Callithrix jacchus: one gene and its partner. The protein of the gene in region 2 interacts with the protein of the main gene of each other region in a pairwise test. Links are inferred from orthologs where the notes say so. Each region holds a gene or a part of one and is shown on either strand. Other genes may lie near its edges. The genes, in order: MAZ and BPTF.

Region 1 (7,542 bases), on a different chromosome or scaffold from region 2:
ACAAATGTTAAACATTACATTTCCAATCCCAGCACTTTGGGAGGCCGAGGCGGGTGGATCACGAGGTCAAGAGATTGAGACCATCCTGGTCAACATGGTAAAACCCTGTCTCTACTAAAAATAGAAAAAGTTAGCTGGGCATGGTGGCCCGTGCCTGTAATCCCAGCTACTCAGGAGGCTGAGGCAGGAGAATTGCCTGAACCCAGGAGGCGGAGGTTGTGGTGAGCAGAGATCTCGCCATTGCACTCCAGCCTGGGTAACAAGAGTGAAACTCCATCTTAAAAAAAAACAAACAAAAAAAACTACATTTCCTAAAACCTAGCTCAATTGAGGACACTCTGCTTGAAGAGCCTTTCTCTTCAATATTTGCAAGAGCCTTGTTCCACCTCTGAGTAGCCCCCTGATCACAGAAAGCCCTTAATTATTGTAGGCTTCACCTGTCTCCTGGTAACTTCTCCCATTGGTCCTTGCTCTGCCCCCTGGGGCCTCAGGGCCTTGCATATACACCCTGGTAACTTATTGCCCTTCAAGCTGCCCGGGAGTTGGGTCTGGGTTATCACATCTCCCTGATCCTTTCCAACAGAGGCTTAAGATGAAGCAAAAAGAACTGGAGGCCAAGATGTTGGCCCAAAAGGCTGAAGACTCAAAGGAAAAGGAGAACCATTATCCCACAATGCTCCGGCCCCTTTCGCATCGCACAGTCACAATGGCAAAGCCCCTGAAAAAGGCTGTGGTGATGCCCCTACAGCTAAGTAAGTTTGACTCCAGGGGCTGGGGGATGCCAAGGCAGCTGAGATACCATAAGGGAGGAGGTGTTAGGAGCAGCTGTCTTCATGTCATTCATGTTCTCCCACCATATGCCAGTCCCAGGGAGGGCTGAGGAGGCTCTGAGGCAGGATTGGGGGTGTTCTGCCCTCAGGTGTTTAGTACAGTGGGATGGACAGACAAGTAGAGGGTTGATGACAATGCAAGAGTGACTGAGATACTTCAAATACAGGTATAAAAAAGGTCATGTGGAGACACAACAGGTTAACTCACGGTGGAGGGGAACTGGGGAATCAGAATTGGAAGAACTGAGGGGCTACCAGGGAGGATGAAAAGTAGCCTCTGCCCTGACTCCAATTATCAATTCCTGCTTTCAGTTCAGGAGCAGGCAGCATCCCCAAATGCCGAGATCCATATCCTGAGGAATAAAGGCCGGAAGAGAAAGGTGAAAGTAGCTGGGGGCTTAGGCTACACCTGGACCTCAGAAATAAGGGGGAGTAGGCTCTAGGGGGAGGAGCATTGGTCTTGGAGTTAACCCACTGGGCGATGGCCGCCAGCTATTTACAGGCCTCGACTTGCTTACCCCTGGAATGTGGCGATGGATGGCTCCTTGCAGGGCATTTAGGGTGAAAGGCAGTGATGTGGATGTACCTAGCAGAGCGGATGTTCCCTTCTTGATAGCTACTGTCAGTTAACTACTTCACTAGGTCCACTGTGTAGCCTGACTTCTGCCATCTACAAGCTTAAAAGGGAAAACTTAGGGAACTATGACCTAAACACTCAAGAATGAAACCACACACATGTGCGCACACTGGCATGCACAGAGTTGAACACCACTACGACTGAAAAGCTGAGATGGTTGAGGGAGGTATCATTTATTCATATTTTCTCCCATGTACTTCTGAAAGAGCTTATTCTTTCCTTTTTAGAGATGAGAAACCAGATTGAATAGCTTATTTTGTTCTTTACATTCATTAACTCACTTGACCGCCACAGTAACTCCATGAGAAAGATGCTAGTACTTGGTATCAGAATTAACCCAGAGTGACCTGAGGGCAGGATTTTGGATACACTTGAGAGGAAGAGGCTGGAGCACGGGAGGTAGCTGGTGCTGGGCTAGTCTTGGCAGAGGAGCCCAAAGCACTTGGCTGCCGTGCATGTCACTCACCACCCTTTGCCTCCCAGCTGGAGTCCCTGGATGCCTCAGAGCCTGAGGAGAAGGCAGAGGACTGCTGGGAGCTACAGATCAGCCCGGAGCTTTTGGCTCATGGGCGCAAAAAAATACTGGATCTGCTGAACGAAGGCTCAGCCAGGGATCTCCGCAGTCTTCAGCGCATTGGCCCGAAGAAGGCCCAGCTCATCGTGGGCTGGCGGGAGCTCCACGGCCCCTTCAGCCAGGTAACAGCCCCCTGAGGACTGGGGGAGGGCGGGGGATGGGGGAGACCAGGCACCCCCGAGACACCATCTCCTACCGATCCTGTCCCGCCAGGTGGAGGACCTGGAACGCGTGGAGGGCATAACAGGGAAACAGATGGAGTCCTTCCTGAAGGTGAAGTCACAGCCCTGCCCCTCGTTTGCCTGTCCAGCACCCCGCGCCCTTCTAACATCGCTGTCCCCGCCCTCCTGTGTTGCAGGCGAACATCCTGGGTCTCGCCGCCGGCCAGCGCTGTGACCTGTCTTGACCGCCGTTTCCTCACTCCGCCTTTTTTAAAAATCCTTGTATAACCCCGTGTTTGTAAATACAGTTTTTGCTCCGGTGCTTCCGCCTGATTTTTGGGGCTGCGAGGGCGGGACCGGGGTGTGACCGCCCCAGGGTGGGCCGCGAGTGCTGCCGTCGGCTCCGCTGGGCGCCATCTTCGGGGAGCCACTTAGCCCTGGATTGTAAATAAACCTCTGGAGCAGGGCGAAGAGGACGGTGGCCGGCAGGATGCAAAAAACGAAAGTCGAAGCTTGAGCGCAACCGTTAGGCGGGCGCGCTCACGGATTAGCCCCGCCCCGTCCGTGCCCCCGACGCGCGCTCCCCCATTCTCCCGCTTAGCAACGACAGCAGCCTTGTGCGCGTGCGCGCGAAATAACGGCCGCTGGCGGAGGGAGGGGGGTGGAATCGTTGGAGGGGGGAAGAGGAGAGAAGCCGCCGGTCTCCCGCGCGCCCACCACCTGCGCCATCGTCAGCCAATCAGCAGCCGTCTCAGGGGTCTCGCGCTCGGGGCGACTCGGGCTGCTGGGTGGCTCCCCCGTCCCTCCTCCCGCCAGTCCTCTCGCGCCTCCCCCTCCCGCTGGCCCTGCGCGCACCCGCGCTCGCGCTCGCGCCCGCTCCAGCCTCTTGTGTGTCCTCGCGCCCCCCGCCCGCCCTCCCCGCGCGCAGTGTGCTCCGCTCCCCCCACCCTCCTCCTCCCCCCGCCCGCCCCGCGCGCCTCCTCCCCGGGTTCCCCCTCCCCCACTGCCGCCTCCTCCTCCTCCCGCCCCAGGGTGAGCGCGAGCCACCTCCCTCCCTCCCTTCGCCATGGATCCCAGCAACTGGAGCAGCTTCATCTTCCAGGTAACAACCCCCTCCCCCCGCCCCCACCCCCCTGCCCACACCCCCTCCTGCCCGCCCTCCCTCCCGTCCCACCCCCCCTCCGCGCGCCCGGTGCGCGCGCAGCTGTCCCCCTCCCTCCCTCGCGCCCTCCCCCGCCCTCCCCGAGGCGCCGGCTGGGCGCGCGCGCGGCGGGGGCCGAGGCTGCTCCCTCGCTCCCCCCACCCCGCCCCGCCAGGCTCCAACCGCCGCCGCCGCCGCCGCCGCCGCCCGGGCCCCCGCCCCCGGCCCCGGCCCCGGCCCCGCGGGGCCTCCCGCCCCCACTCAGGGGGCGTCGCCGCCGCCGTCGCCGCGGCGCTCCGCGGCCCGCAAGGCGCCCTCCTTCCCTCCCGCCGGCCGGGGTGCGCGGGCGGCGGGGCGGCCCGCGGGCCATGCGTTCGGCGCGGCCCAGGCCGGCCGGCCGGGGGCGGCGCCCCGAGCCCGGGCCCTGTGCGGCCCGCGCCCCCGGCCCCCGCTGAGCCCCGGGGGCCCCGCTGCGGCCGAGGCCATGTTCCCGGTGTTCCCTTGCACGCTGCTGGCCCCCCCCTTCCCCGTGCTGGGCCTGGACTCCCGGGGGGTGGGCGGCCTCATGAACTCCTTCCCGCCACCTCAGGGTCACGCCCAGAACCCCCTGCAGGTCGGGGCTGAGCTCCAGTCCCGCTTCTTTGCCTCCCAGGGCTGCGCCCAGAGTCCATTCCAGGTGAGTAGGGCCCGCCGCGGCGGCCAGGGCCGGGGGGGGGCGCCCGCCGGCACCCGCGGCCCACTCGGCGCCTTGTTTCCGCAGGCCGCACCGGCGCCCCCGCCCACGCCCCAGGCCCCGGCGGCCGAGCCCCTCCAGGTGGACTTGCTCCCCGTGCTCGCTGCTGCCCAGGAGTCCGCCGCGGCCGCTGCGGCCGCCGCCGCCGCTGCTGCTGCCGTCGCTGCCGCGCCCCCGGCTCCGGCCGCCGCCTCCACGGTGGACACAGCGGCCCTGAAACAGCCCCCGGCGCCCCCTCCGCCACCCCCACCCGTGTCGGCGCCTGCGGCCGAGGCCGCGCCCCCCGCCTCCGCCGCCACCATCGCCGCGGCGGCGGCGGCCACCGCCGTCGTAGCCCCAACATCGACGGTTGCCGTGGCCCCAGTCGCTTCTGCCTTGGAGAAGAAGACAAAGAGCAAGGGGCCCTACATCTGCGCTCTCTGCGCCAAGGAGTTCAAGAACGGCTACAACCTCCGGAGGCACGAAGCCATCCACACGGGAGCCAAGGCCGGCCGGGTCCCCTCGGGTGCTATGAAGATGCCCACTATGGTGCCCCTGAGTCTCCTGAGCGTACCCCAGCTGAGCGGAGCCGGCGGGGGAGGGGGAGAAGCGGGTGCCGGCGGCGGCGCGGCCGCAGTGGCTGCTGGTGGCGTGGTGACCACGACCGCCTCGGGGAAGCGCATCCGGAAGAACCACGCCTGCGAGATGTGCGGCAAGGCCTTCCGCGATGTCTACCACCTGAACCGACACAAGCTGTCGCACTCGGACGAGAAGCCCTACCAGTGCCCGGTGTGCCAACAGCGCTTCAAGCGCAAGGACCGCATGAGCTACCACGTGCGCTCACATGACGGCGCTGTACACAAGCCCTACAACTGCTCCCACTGTGGCAAGAGCTTCTCCCGGTGTGCACGGGGCCTCGGCCGCCCACTAGGCCATGGGGAGGGAGGGACGCGACAGAGGTGGCCTGGCTGTGGCTGGCGGGGAGGGAGGTGGCTGCTGAGGCTGGGGAAGGGGAGCTCCTCCTAGGGCGGAGGGAGGAAGCCTCTCTGGGTTACCAGGGAGCAGGGGGTGGTCCTTTGCCGAGGAGGTGGGCCTTGGGGTTGACGGAAGCTTCTCGTGGGAGGTGGCGGCGGAGGCGGAGGCGGAGGCGGCCGCGGCTGCCGGGCTTGGAGGGGAGGGATTTCCTGCCGAAGTGGCGCTGTGACGGCCCGGGCTCCGGGAGGAGGCGCAGGGATCCTCGGAAAGGCCTGTGGTGCTGTTTGGCGGTTTTGGGGCTCACCGCTTCTGCCCTAACCCCAACCCCAACGTGTCCCCAGGCCGGATCACCTCAACAGTCACGTCAGACAAGTGCACTCAACAGAACGGCCGTTCAAATGTGAGGTAGGAAGCCCGCCGCCTCCAGTCCTGGTTTTCATGATTTTGATCCTCATAGTAGCTGTCTGAGTTCAGCCTCTCAGACCCCCTTTTTCTCTCTCTTCTTTTTGCCTTTTCACTCCATTTTCTCATTCCTTCTTCAAGGCCTCGTCATCTCACTCCCGTTTCCTACAGATCAAAGATCCCCAAGGCTCTGATTCCTTTAACCTCTTGCTCCCCCCTCCCCAGCCCCCGAAGCTTTAACTCTCCTGTGACACCCCCCACGCCCCTCCCCCCTCCCCAGAAATGTGAGGCAGCTTTCGCCACGAAGGATCGGCTGCGGGCGCACACAGTACGACACGAGGAGAAGGTGCCATGTCACGTGTGTGGGAAGATGCTGAGTTCGGCTTATATTTCGGACCACATGAAGGTGCACAGCCAGGGCCCTCACCATGTCTGTGAGCTCTGCAACAAAGGTACATGCTGAGTGAGGGCTGCCGGGAGGGCCAGGGGCAGAGGGTGGGCGCCTGGCCAGACGCCCTGCCACTGATAGGAATTAAGGGTGCTGTAGCCAAGAACTCGTGGCGTCTAGAGTCCTCCAAGAGGTCAAGGGAGCAGCGGAGGGGGGACACCTGAATGAGCGTCGTTAGGCTCTAGGAAGTCCTGGCTGGAGGAGAAGATCTGCCGGAGAGGTTGAACCTCCTGGGCATGTGTAGGGAGAGCGGGAGTGGAACTTGGCTGCTCTGGGTAAGGAGTAGTCAGGGAAGCCAGTTCCAGGGGTCACAAGGCAAGGTTTCCGCCAGGCAGCCACAAGGTCTTGTCTCCAGCTCCTGGGGCAGTTGGAATACACGGGCTTGGCTTTACCAGCACATATCCTGCCCGGGTAGCAGAGAAAGCTGCCTTCAGTCAGACTCACCGACTAACTGGGTTGAGACTGGGAGGCACTGGAGGGAAGGGGACACAGCCGTCTCTGCTGAGGGTCAACCTTATAAGTGGCTAGGAGTCAGTGTCCTGTCATCTTGGGAGAGGTCTCCCGGCCATGAAGAGTGAGCTCTGTAGGTACCCAGGCTGAGAGGCAGGCACCACGCAAGTCAGGCCCCAGGCTCAGGGAGGGGCTGTACCCACCAGTCCCAGCAGAGCAGTTGGCCCCAGGCTACCAAGGATGCTGTGGGAGGAGGACAGGGCCATCTGAGGAGGGCATCCCCCGCCTAGGAGATCAGCCCCGTCTCTGGGGTCTCCGTCTCTGGGCTGACCCCCGCCCCATCCCAATCCACCCCCCCAATAGGCTTCACCACGGCAGCATACCTGCGCATCCACGCGGTGAAGGACCACGGGCTCCAGGCCCCGCGGGCTGACCGCATCCTGTGCAAGCTGTGCAGCGTGCACTGCAAGACCCCTGCCCAGCTGGCCGGCCACATGCAGACCCATCTGGGGGGGGCCGCCCCCCCTGTCCCAGGAGACGCCCCCCAGCCACAGCCCACCTGCTGAGGGGGACCCCGCACCCACCAGGCAAGGCGTGGGGCATGGCTGGGGGGCGGGATGGGGGGTGTGGGGGACAAGGGGGCTCAAAGGGCCCAATAGGGGATCTCAGGAAGGCAAGGGATGCCCATGTGCCACTCAGGCTAGGGAGACTTCCAGGCACAGGGAAGACCCTTGAGAACTCCTCTGTCTGGGTGAGGATGCAGGCTGAGGCCTTTGGGGACCAGATAGGAAGTGAGCAACGGCTGTGTCCCAGGGGAAGCAGGCTGGGAAGGTCTGGGGTGAGGGCAAGGCTCTTGCCATTCAGATTGCGCTGTGATCCGTGGTGTTTCTCCTGCAGGTACTGGTGAGGTTTGTCCAATGGCGGCGGCAGCAGCAGCGGCGGCAGCGGCGGCAGCTGCGGCAGCGGCAGTAGCAGCTCCTCCCACAGCTGTGGGCTCCCTCTCGGGGGCAGAGGGGGTGCCTGTGAGCTCTCAGCCACTTCCCTCCCAGCCCTGGTGAGCTCCAAGTTGGTTGTGGGGGAGAGGGGAAAATGGAGTAGAGTCCCTTGGTACAGGCTCCTCTCCCCCCTCTTTTTCCACCAACTCCTCACTACTTCCCCACCAACCAAGGAGCCTCCGGAAGGAAAGGAGGAAGAAATGTTTTAGGGGAATTC
Region 2 (7,470 bases):
GGAAAACAATCTTCAATGAATAAACTTTGAAGACTTTAGTAATGTCAACTAATATCTTTGCATCAAGTTATATTGTCTATAAAATACTGAGTTATTTCTTATATTAGGAGTTATTTCTTATGTTAGGAATGTTACATTGTCAGTACTTAAGCCAACACTGTAAACTATAAAAATTAATCAAATTGCTCTAAACTACCAATGAAGTAAATTCCTCTTTCAGCTTTCACTGTTCAACAGGATTGAAAGTCATCAATCATACTTCTTTATGTGTTATTGGACTATTTTTAACCAGTTCTATAACTTTTTTTTCTTCCATCTACACATTACCTGACAGCCTTCCTCCGGGGAAGTACAGACTACAAACCAACGAAACTAGTACTTAGCCGAAACAACTCACTGCCATGCATTGTTAGCCATTCGAGGCAAGTGGGCATGTTCTAAAAGTTTAGAACGCAACATGTCACTTGGAGCGCGTGGTTGGTGAGGGGAGGGGAACTTAGAGGATGGGTTAATAAGTACAGCAATTCACCATGGCACACATATACCTATGCAACAAATCCGCACATTCTGCACATGTATCTCGTTTTTTTTTCTTTGTATAAGAAATAAGGGGAAAAAAGTCACATCCATTGTACTGTAATCTTAAAAAGGTAAGACATCCAAATTAACATCACAGCCAATAAAAGAAAATGCCTGGCAAGCAATATGAAATAGCAACTCAAAAAAAAAAATAACTCTTGCAATGAAAAACATTCACTGACCAAACTGTCCATCAAAACCCAATTAGAAAAAACACAAACAAAAACCAATTAGACCAATTTTTAATTTCCTAAGTCCAAAGATTTAGGAGTTATGACACCCACCGCAAAATTATCAAAATTTCATCTATTATAAGCTCTCATCTGCTAACAATTTATCCAACCAATCTCTGATGAGTACCTGTTAGATGCCAAACACTGTTATAGGAGCTGCAGGTGGAATAAGCTCAATACCTATCTCTAACGAGTTAATAATTCCATACAAAGAAGGACAGACAGACACCTGCTAGGCTACAACTATCGTTAAGAAAAACAAAAAGTCGGTTGGCCAGGCTCAGTGGCTTACACCTGTAATTGCAGCACTTTGGGCAGGGGGGGACATCACCTGAGGTTGGGAGTTCGAGACCAGCCTGACCAATATGGTGAAACCCCATCTCTACAAAAAATACAAAGTTAGCCAGGTGTGGTGGGGCATGCCTTTAATCCCAGCTACTCAGAAGACTGAGACAGGGGAATCATTTGAACCCAGGAGGTGAAGGCTGCGGTGAGCCAAGATCACCACATGTACTCTAGCCTGGGCAACAAGAGCAAAACTCTGTCTCCAAAAAAAAAAAAAAAGAAAGAAAGAAAGAAAAAAGGAAAAGAAAATGTCAGGCCAGTGCCGTGGCTCATGCTTGTGATCCCCAAACTTTGGGAGGCCGAGGTGGGCGGGTCATCCGAGGTCGAGAGTTCCAGAGCAGCCTGACCAACATGAAGAAACCCCATCTCTACTGAAAATACAAAATTAGCTGGGCATGGTGGAACATGCCTGTAATCCCAGCTACTCGGGAGGCAGGAGAAGAATCTGAACCCGGAAGGCGGAGGTTGCAGTGAGCTGAAATCACACCATTGTACTCCAGCCTGGGCAACAAGAGTAAAATGCTATCTCAAAAAAAGAAAAACAAAATGTCACAAAAGAATAAGTAAATAAATTTTTTTAAATGACACCTAGCTACAGATTGTAATTTAAGTCAGCATATGCGAGTTATCAATCCTATATATTATTTGCTAGGCCTTCAAATAGGTCTTAAAGTTAGCTGAACTGCCCTGCCAAAATGTCTCAGCTCTGTTTAATCAGAAACACTTCCTCCAGGGGTGTATGCAATTCAGTCTCCATGTTTCAATTATCGGTTCTGTGTATAATGAAGACCAACAAGTGATTTCTCAAGGTAAAAATTATTACCATAAAAGGTGTACTAGGCCAGGCACGGTGGTTCACACCTGTAATCCTAGCACTTTGGGAGGCCAAGGTGGGCAGATCACGAGGTCAGGAGTTTGACATCAGGCTGGCCAACACGGTGAAACCCCATCTCTACTAAAAATACAAAAATTAGCCAGGCATGCTGGCAGGTACCCGTAATCCCGGCTGCTCAAGAGGCTGACAGGAGAATCGCTTGAGCCCAGGAGGTGGAGGTTGCAGGGAGCCATGATCGTGCCATTGCACTCCAGCCTGGGCGACAGAGCAAGACTCCGTCTCAAAAACAAAAAGATGAGCTAAAATTAAGTTGGCAAGAATTTACCTGTAGTCCTTTCTACATCTAAGACATAAATACCTGACACTTGATTCATTCCCTTCATTCTCCACATAGTCCCCCCCAACCCTCACAAGCCAGGCAACCATTCTGACCATCAGGCAAAATAAATTACCTTTTTTCACTTTGTTAGGACAACTCATGTGGGTTTACATTTGGCTTAATATAATACTACTCTACTTCTCCAATAAGTAAGCATTTATAAAAAACAGAAACTTCTCAATTTAACCACTTCTACTATCCGAGTCTCTCTGAGAAAGACATGACACACCTTAATTCAAGGAAAAAAGGTCCTTTTTCCTCACAAATATTTCCTCATAAACTTTATTTTTCAAATGCTTTTAAAACCAGATTCTAATTTAATTAATCTAGATTTGCAAAATTATAAAGGAAAAGTCTTGCCAGTTGTTGCTTTGGTTATGTTAATTTCACAATTTAGTAAATTTCAACTACCTATTTAATACAAAGCAGTCTTTTGGAAGAGGGTGAGGGGTTTTTAACAAAATGCATCTCAGCACCAGCCTGGAGAAACTTTTTGTGAGAAAACAGAAGAGGGGTTACCATGGAGAAATTCATTACGGATTTCTGTGAGGGCTTTTTCCTCAGAAATAGAGTGAAAAGAAAAAGTCGTCGTGTAATAAATCTGATACTGATGCTACATGACTTAGAAAAAAGTTCATCTTCGGCAATTATGTCTAGAGGATCAACTACACATCTTGTGCAACAGGTGACACGAAACTGCATTTCCCAAGCCAGGCAAAGCGATCAAATGAGTTAAGACAAGCGTTCCTGCGGTTTTGTACTTTTATTTTTGACTTAACCAAAACAATTTTGAATCGGATGAATTACCAAATTTGGTTGGGTCTTGTTTGGCTTTCTATTTTGCTTTTTCATCAGCCATTTACCAGCAACTGTTGCATGAGCCCATTGGCACTCGAAGAATAAAAACAAACACGCAGGACCAGATAAAGTTCCCCTACTAACCCAAATGATCCATTTCCTTAACACAATTTTAAAACCACAGCTAGGGGTGTGAAAACAGGCATGTTTTTGTGTGTGTTTGTGTGCCACAATCTGCCCAAATCCTTAATTCCCTTTTAAGTAACAGATATATAATAAAAATCTGAAAGAAACCATATTAGAAATGCAAAGAGGTTTGCAAAACAAGAGGCTTCTTTCATTCCAGAAAACCACACCAAAACAAGGGAAGAAAAATGAATGCAATGGATACGTGTCTGCCAAAGTTTCAATCCTGCCCGGTGGAGACATCGCACTGGCACAAATTTTGAAGAGGAAAAAGAGGGGGTTGGGGGGAGAGAGAGCAAGCGAGTGTGGCCTGCAAACTGCAACAATGCAATCTCCATTTTGAACAATGCGCCTCTTTCCTCTTGTAAATCTAGTTTTTTGCCACTTGATGTGCCGTCGCATTTCCCCTCTGTTTGGGGGGAAGGCGGGGTTGGGGGGAGATCGGAGCAGGATGCACAGCACACGAGTGAGGAAGGGGGGAGGGCAGAGGAGGTGGGGAAGGAGTCTGCAGCAACTGGGCTGGGTGGGTACCTGGAGTGCTGCTGTAGGTACTATGGCTCCTGAAGCTGCTTTCCGTGCAGTAACTGGCGTCGTCGTCGTCGTCTTCCATCTCCTCCGGATAATCGGAGTCATCGTCGTCCTCCTCCATCTCATCCTCCTCGTCGTCCTCAGAATCTTGGGTCTCCTCGGCGTCGCCGTCCTCCTCCTCCTCCTCCTCCTCCTCGGAGACCATGTCCTCCTCTTCCTCCTCCTCCTCGCTCTCGTGGTCATCGTACACCACTTTGTTGACGGCCCTCCGGGCCGCGGTGGTCCGGGCCAGGTGGCCGCCGCCGCCCCCGCCCCCCGTCCTGCCTCCCCCGCCTCCTCGCCCCCCCCGGCCCGGGGCGCTGGTGCTGGGGGGGGCCGGCGGCGGCTGCGGCTTCCTCCGGCTACTGCTGCCCCCCCTGGGCGAGCTCAGCCGCGTCTTGGGCGCCACCTCAGCCTGGGCGGCGGCCCACCTGCCCCGACTACTGCCGCGGTGCCGCGAGCGGAGCCCCCCGATGGGTCCGGACGTGGGCGGCGGCGGCGGCGGCGGCGGCGGCGGCGGGGCCGGGGCGCAGCGCTCCGCAGCGGGAGCCGCGGGCTGCTTGGGCGGCCTGCCCCGCCGGCCCCTCATGTCGGAGCCGAGGCGGGGGGGAGAAGGGAAAGCGGAGGGGGAGGGGCGGGCGCAGGGGGGGCGGTGGGGAGCGCCGGGGCCGGGTGGGGAAGCCCGCGGGGCCGGGCGGGAGGGGCCCAGCCGGCGGAAGCGGGTGGAGGGAGAAGGCTCAATCCGAATTGCTGGGGCCCCACTCCGGATCGCCTTCAGCCGCCATCTTGTTTCTTCCCTCTCGCTCGGTGACTGGGGGAACCGACAGCGGCCGCAGGCCCGGAGCGCGGTCACGTGAGCTGCGCCGCCGACGAGCCTGGACGGAGCGAGGCGGCGCAGCGGCCGCTAGGGGGAGCGCGGGAGCGCCGAGTCGGGGGCGGGGAGCACGGGGCTTCTGGGTTCGGCGCAGCTAGGCGCAGCTGGACTTCGGGCGCGGGTGGCGCGGCAGAGACGGGTGCGCAGCTCGCGAAATGCCCCTGTGTCAAAGGCCTTCGGAGACCATAGTCTCCGCGGACCCCTGGCTGGAGGCCAAAGCCTGCCGGACCTCCTCCCCGCGTCTCCCCTTCCGCGGCTCGGAGAGAAAGGCAGGAGAGCCCCCAAATATCATTCCCCTCCCGGCCCCCTAGGGAAACTGATGCTGAAAGAGCCAGAGAAAAAGAAAAAAAGGTATAGGAGCGGGGCGGCCGAACGACCGAGGACACTGGGCAGCGCCACCGACGAAGGGAAATTCCTAGAATTTAGGAAACTCCTTACCTGGGAGCTGGAGTCCTGAAATTGACTCGAATGACAACTGCTCCACGCTGTGCCAGGAGCCACGCCCGGAGGGAGGGGCACTTTAAGGCCTATTCCGTGGAACCCCCACTCGGAAAGCCTCAGGAAACTCCAGAACGCAACTACTGCACGTTCCAGTCTCCCGCCACCCTCCCAGTGCCCCAGCTAGGACCGCTACCACCTCAGCAGGAACTTCCCTCTCCTCTGCAGTGTAAAACGAAATCCTGCCTAAAAACCTACTTCACGGTGTTATGTTTGTATTATCGGGAAATAACCTTGATTTATTTATCTGACAAGTCACTAAGTTTCAGCTTAGCCCAGGGGACGAATCATGATGACATTTCAGGCACCCTCAAACCTTATCACAGGGACTCAACCGTGAGTGGTTGAGGGCAGCTCTTCAGATAAGAGGTTTTATAAACTTATATGAATATTTGAGATAAGTGACAACCAAAAAGTAATTTAAAGAAAAATAGTTGGCCTGGCTCGGAAACTCATACCTGCAATCCCAGCCCTTTGAGAGACGGAGGCCGGAGGATAGCTTGCGGTCAGCAGTTCGAGACAACCCTGGGCAACATATCAGGACCTCGTCTCTAGAAAAAAATTGAAAAATTAGCCGGGCATGGTGGTGTGCACCTGTGGTCCCAGCTACATGAGAGGCTGAGATGGGGGGGATCGCTGGAGCCTGGGAGACAGATGTTGCAGTGAGTGGTGATTGCACCACTGCACTCCAGCCTGCGTGAAAGAGCAAGACCCTGTCTCAAAATTGAAAAAAAAGAAACAAAAATACCTAACAGGATTTCTGTCCACCAAATGGCTATTTCAATCTCGGCCTCGCCGTCCTCCTCCTCGGAGACCATGTCCACCTCTTCCTCCTCCTCCTCGTTCTCGTGGTCATCATACACCAAATATGAACACATTTATGTTCACAATTGTGTTCACATTTGTGAAATTTTTCACATGTGAAAGTTGTGTTCATATATGTGAAATGAAAATTAAAATACAAGCACTGATTGCCAAATATATGCATTCAGTACAATTTGATTGAGCTTCAAAAGTGACAAATGTGTATGTATCTCCAGAGACCAGGCGAGTTACGTAAGTCAATAAAGTAGGCAAGATAAAGACTTAGGCCAGTGGAAGTGCCTGTATTTTGTTTGAAGAGGGTGGCTCAGGCCTGTAATCCCATCACTTTAGGAGGCCAGGTGGGTGGATCAATTGAGGGACTTGGAGATTAGCCTGGGCAACATGGTGAAATCCTGTCTACTAAAAATACAAAAATTAGCTGGGCGTGGTGGCGGGTACCTGTAATCCCAGCTACCTGGGAGGCTGACAGGAGAATCGCTTGAACTCAGGAGGCAGAGGCTGCAGTAAGCCAAGGTGGTGCTACTGCACTCCAACCTGGGTGACACAGCAAGACTTGTCTCAAAAAAAAAAAAAAAAGTGGTAGTGAGGAAGTGAGAATTTTATTTGGAGACACATAAATTGAAACTTTATGTATATATCATCCCAGTGATTGTGGCTCACTGCAACCTCCTGAGCTTGAGCGATCCACCCACCTCCCTCCCAAAGTGCTGGTTTTATAGACCACAGCCAGCCACCCTTTTTAAACAAAATATGGTGCCAGGGCTGGGTGTGGTGGCTCATTCCTGTAATCCCAGCACTTTGAGAGGCCAAGGCGGGTCAACATGGCAAAACCCCGTCTCTGCTAAAAACTAGCCAAGCATGGTGGGGCGCCAGTAGTCCCAGCTACTTGGGAGACTGAGGCAGGAGAATTGCTTGAACCCAGGAGGTGGAAGTTGCAGTAAGCGGAGATCGCGCCATTGCACTCCAGCCGGGGCGACAGAACAAGACTCTGTCTCAAAATAAATAAATAAATAAAAATGGGCACTTCCATTGGCCAAAGTCCTCATCCTGCTCTACTTTATTGACTTTCATTCCCTGGTCCGTGGAGGCATATACACATTTGTCACCCTAGGGGCTCAATCAAATTGTATTGAATACATTTATTTGACATTAGTGCTTGTATTTTTTCATTTCACATAAGTATTCTATTTTCCTAACTAGATTGAAAGAAGCCGCTGGTGTGGTGGCTCACATCTGTAATCTTAGCACTTTGGGAGGCTGATCACCTGAGGTTGCAAGTTGGAGACCAGCCTGACCAACATGATGAAACACTGTCTCTACCAAAAGTACAAAAAGTAGCTGGGTGTGGTGG

What was found.
Region 1: the proteins of BPTF (region 2) and MAZ interact in a two-hybrid assay, tested with the Homo sapiens proteins (2 studies listed by BioGRID). The link is inferred for Callithrix jacchus from reciprocal best matches to the Homo sapiens genes BPTF and MAZ.

What each region holds. Positions count from the first base shown.
Region 1 is NC_133513.1:29,700,667-29,708,208, reverse strand, and holds the start of MAZ (myc-associated zinc finger protein), read left to right. Parts: upstream 1-3,516; 5' UTR 3,517-3,827; coding exon 3,828-4,019; intron 4,020-4,103; coding exon 4,104-4,957; intron 4,958-5,371; coding exon 5,372-5,435; intron 5,436-5,573; exon of another isoform or gene 5,574-5,712; coding exon 5,713-5,884; exon of another isoform or gene 5,885-6,283; intron 6,284-6,393; exon of another isoform or gene 6,394-6,573; intron 6,574-6,693; coding exon 6,694-6,896; 3' UTR 6,897-6,917; intron 6,918-7,227; coding exon of another isoform or gene 7,228-7,388; 3' UTR 7,389-7,542. Other genes in the region: kinesin-like protein KIF22, read left to right, coding at 584-752, 1,143-1,210, 1,951-2,163, 2,255-2,437. UniProt on the Homo sapiens protein: Transcriptional regulator, potentially with dual roles in transcription initiation and termination.
Region 2 is NC_133506.1:90,439,341-90,446,810, forward strand, and holds the start of BPTF (nucleosome-remodeling factor subunit BPTF), read right to left. Parts: upstream 4,736-7,470; 5' UTR 4,512-4,735; coding exon 3,887-4,511; intron 1-3,886. UniProt on the Homo sapiens protein: Regulatory subunit of the ATP-dependent NURF-1 and NURF-5 ISWI chromatin remodeling complexes, which form ordered nucleosome arrays on chromatin and facilitate access to DNA during DNA-templated processes such as DNA replication, transcription, and repair.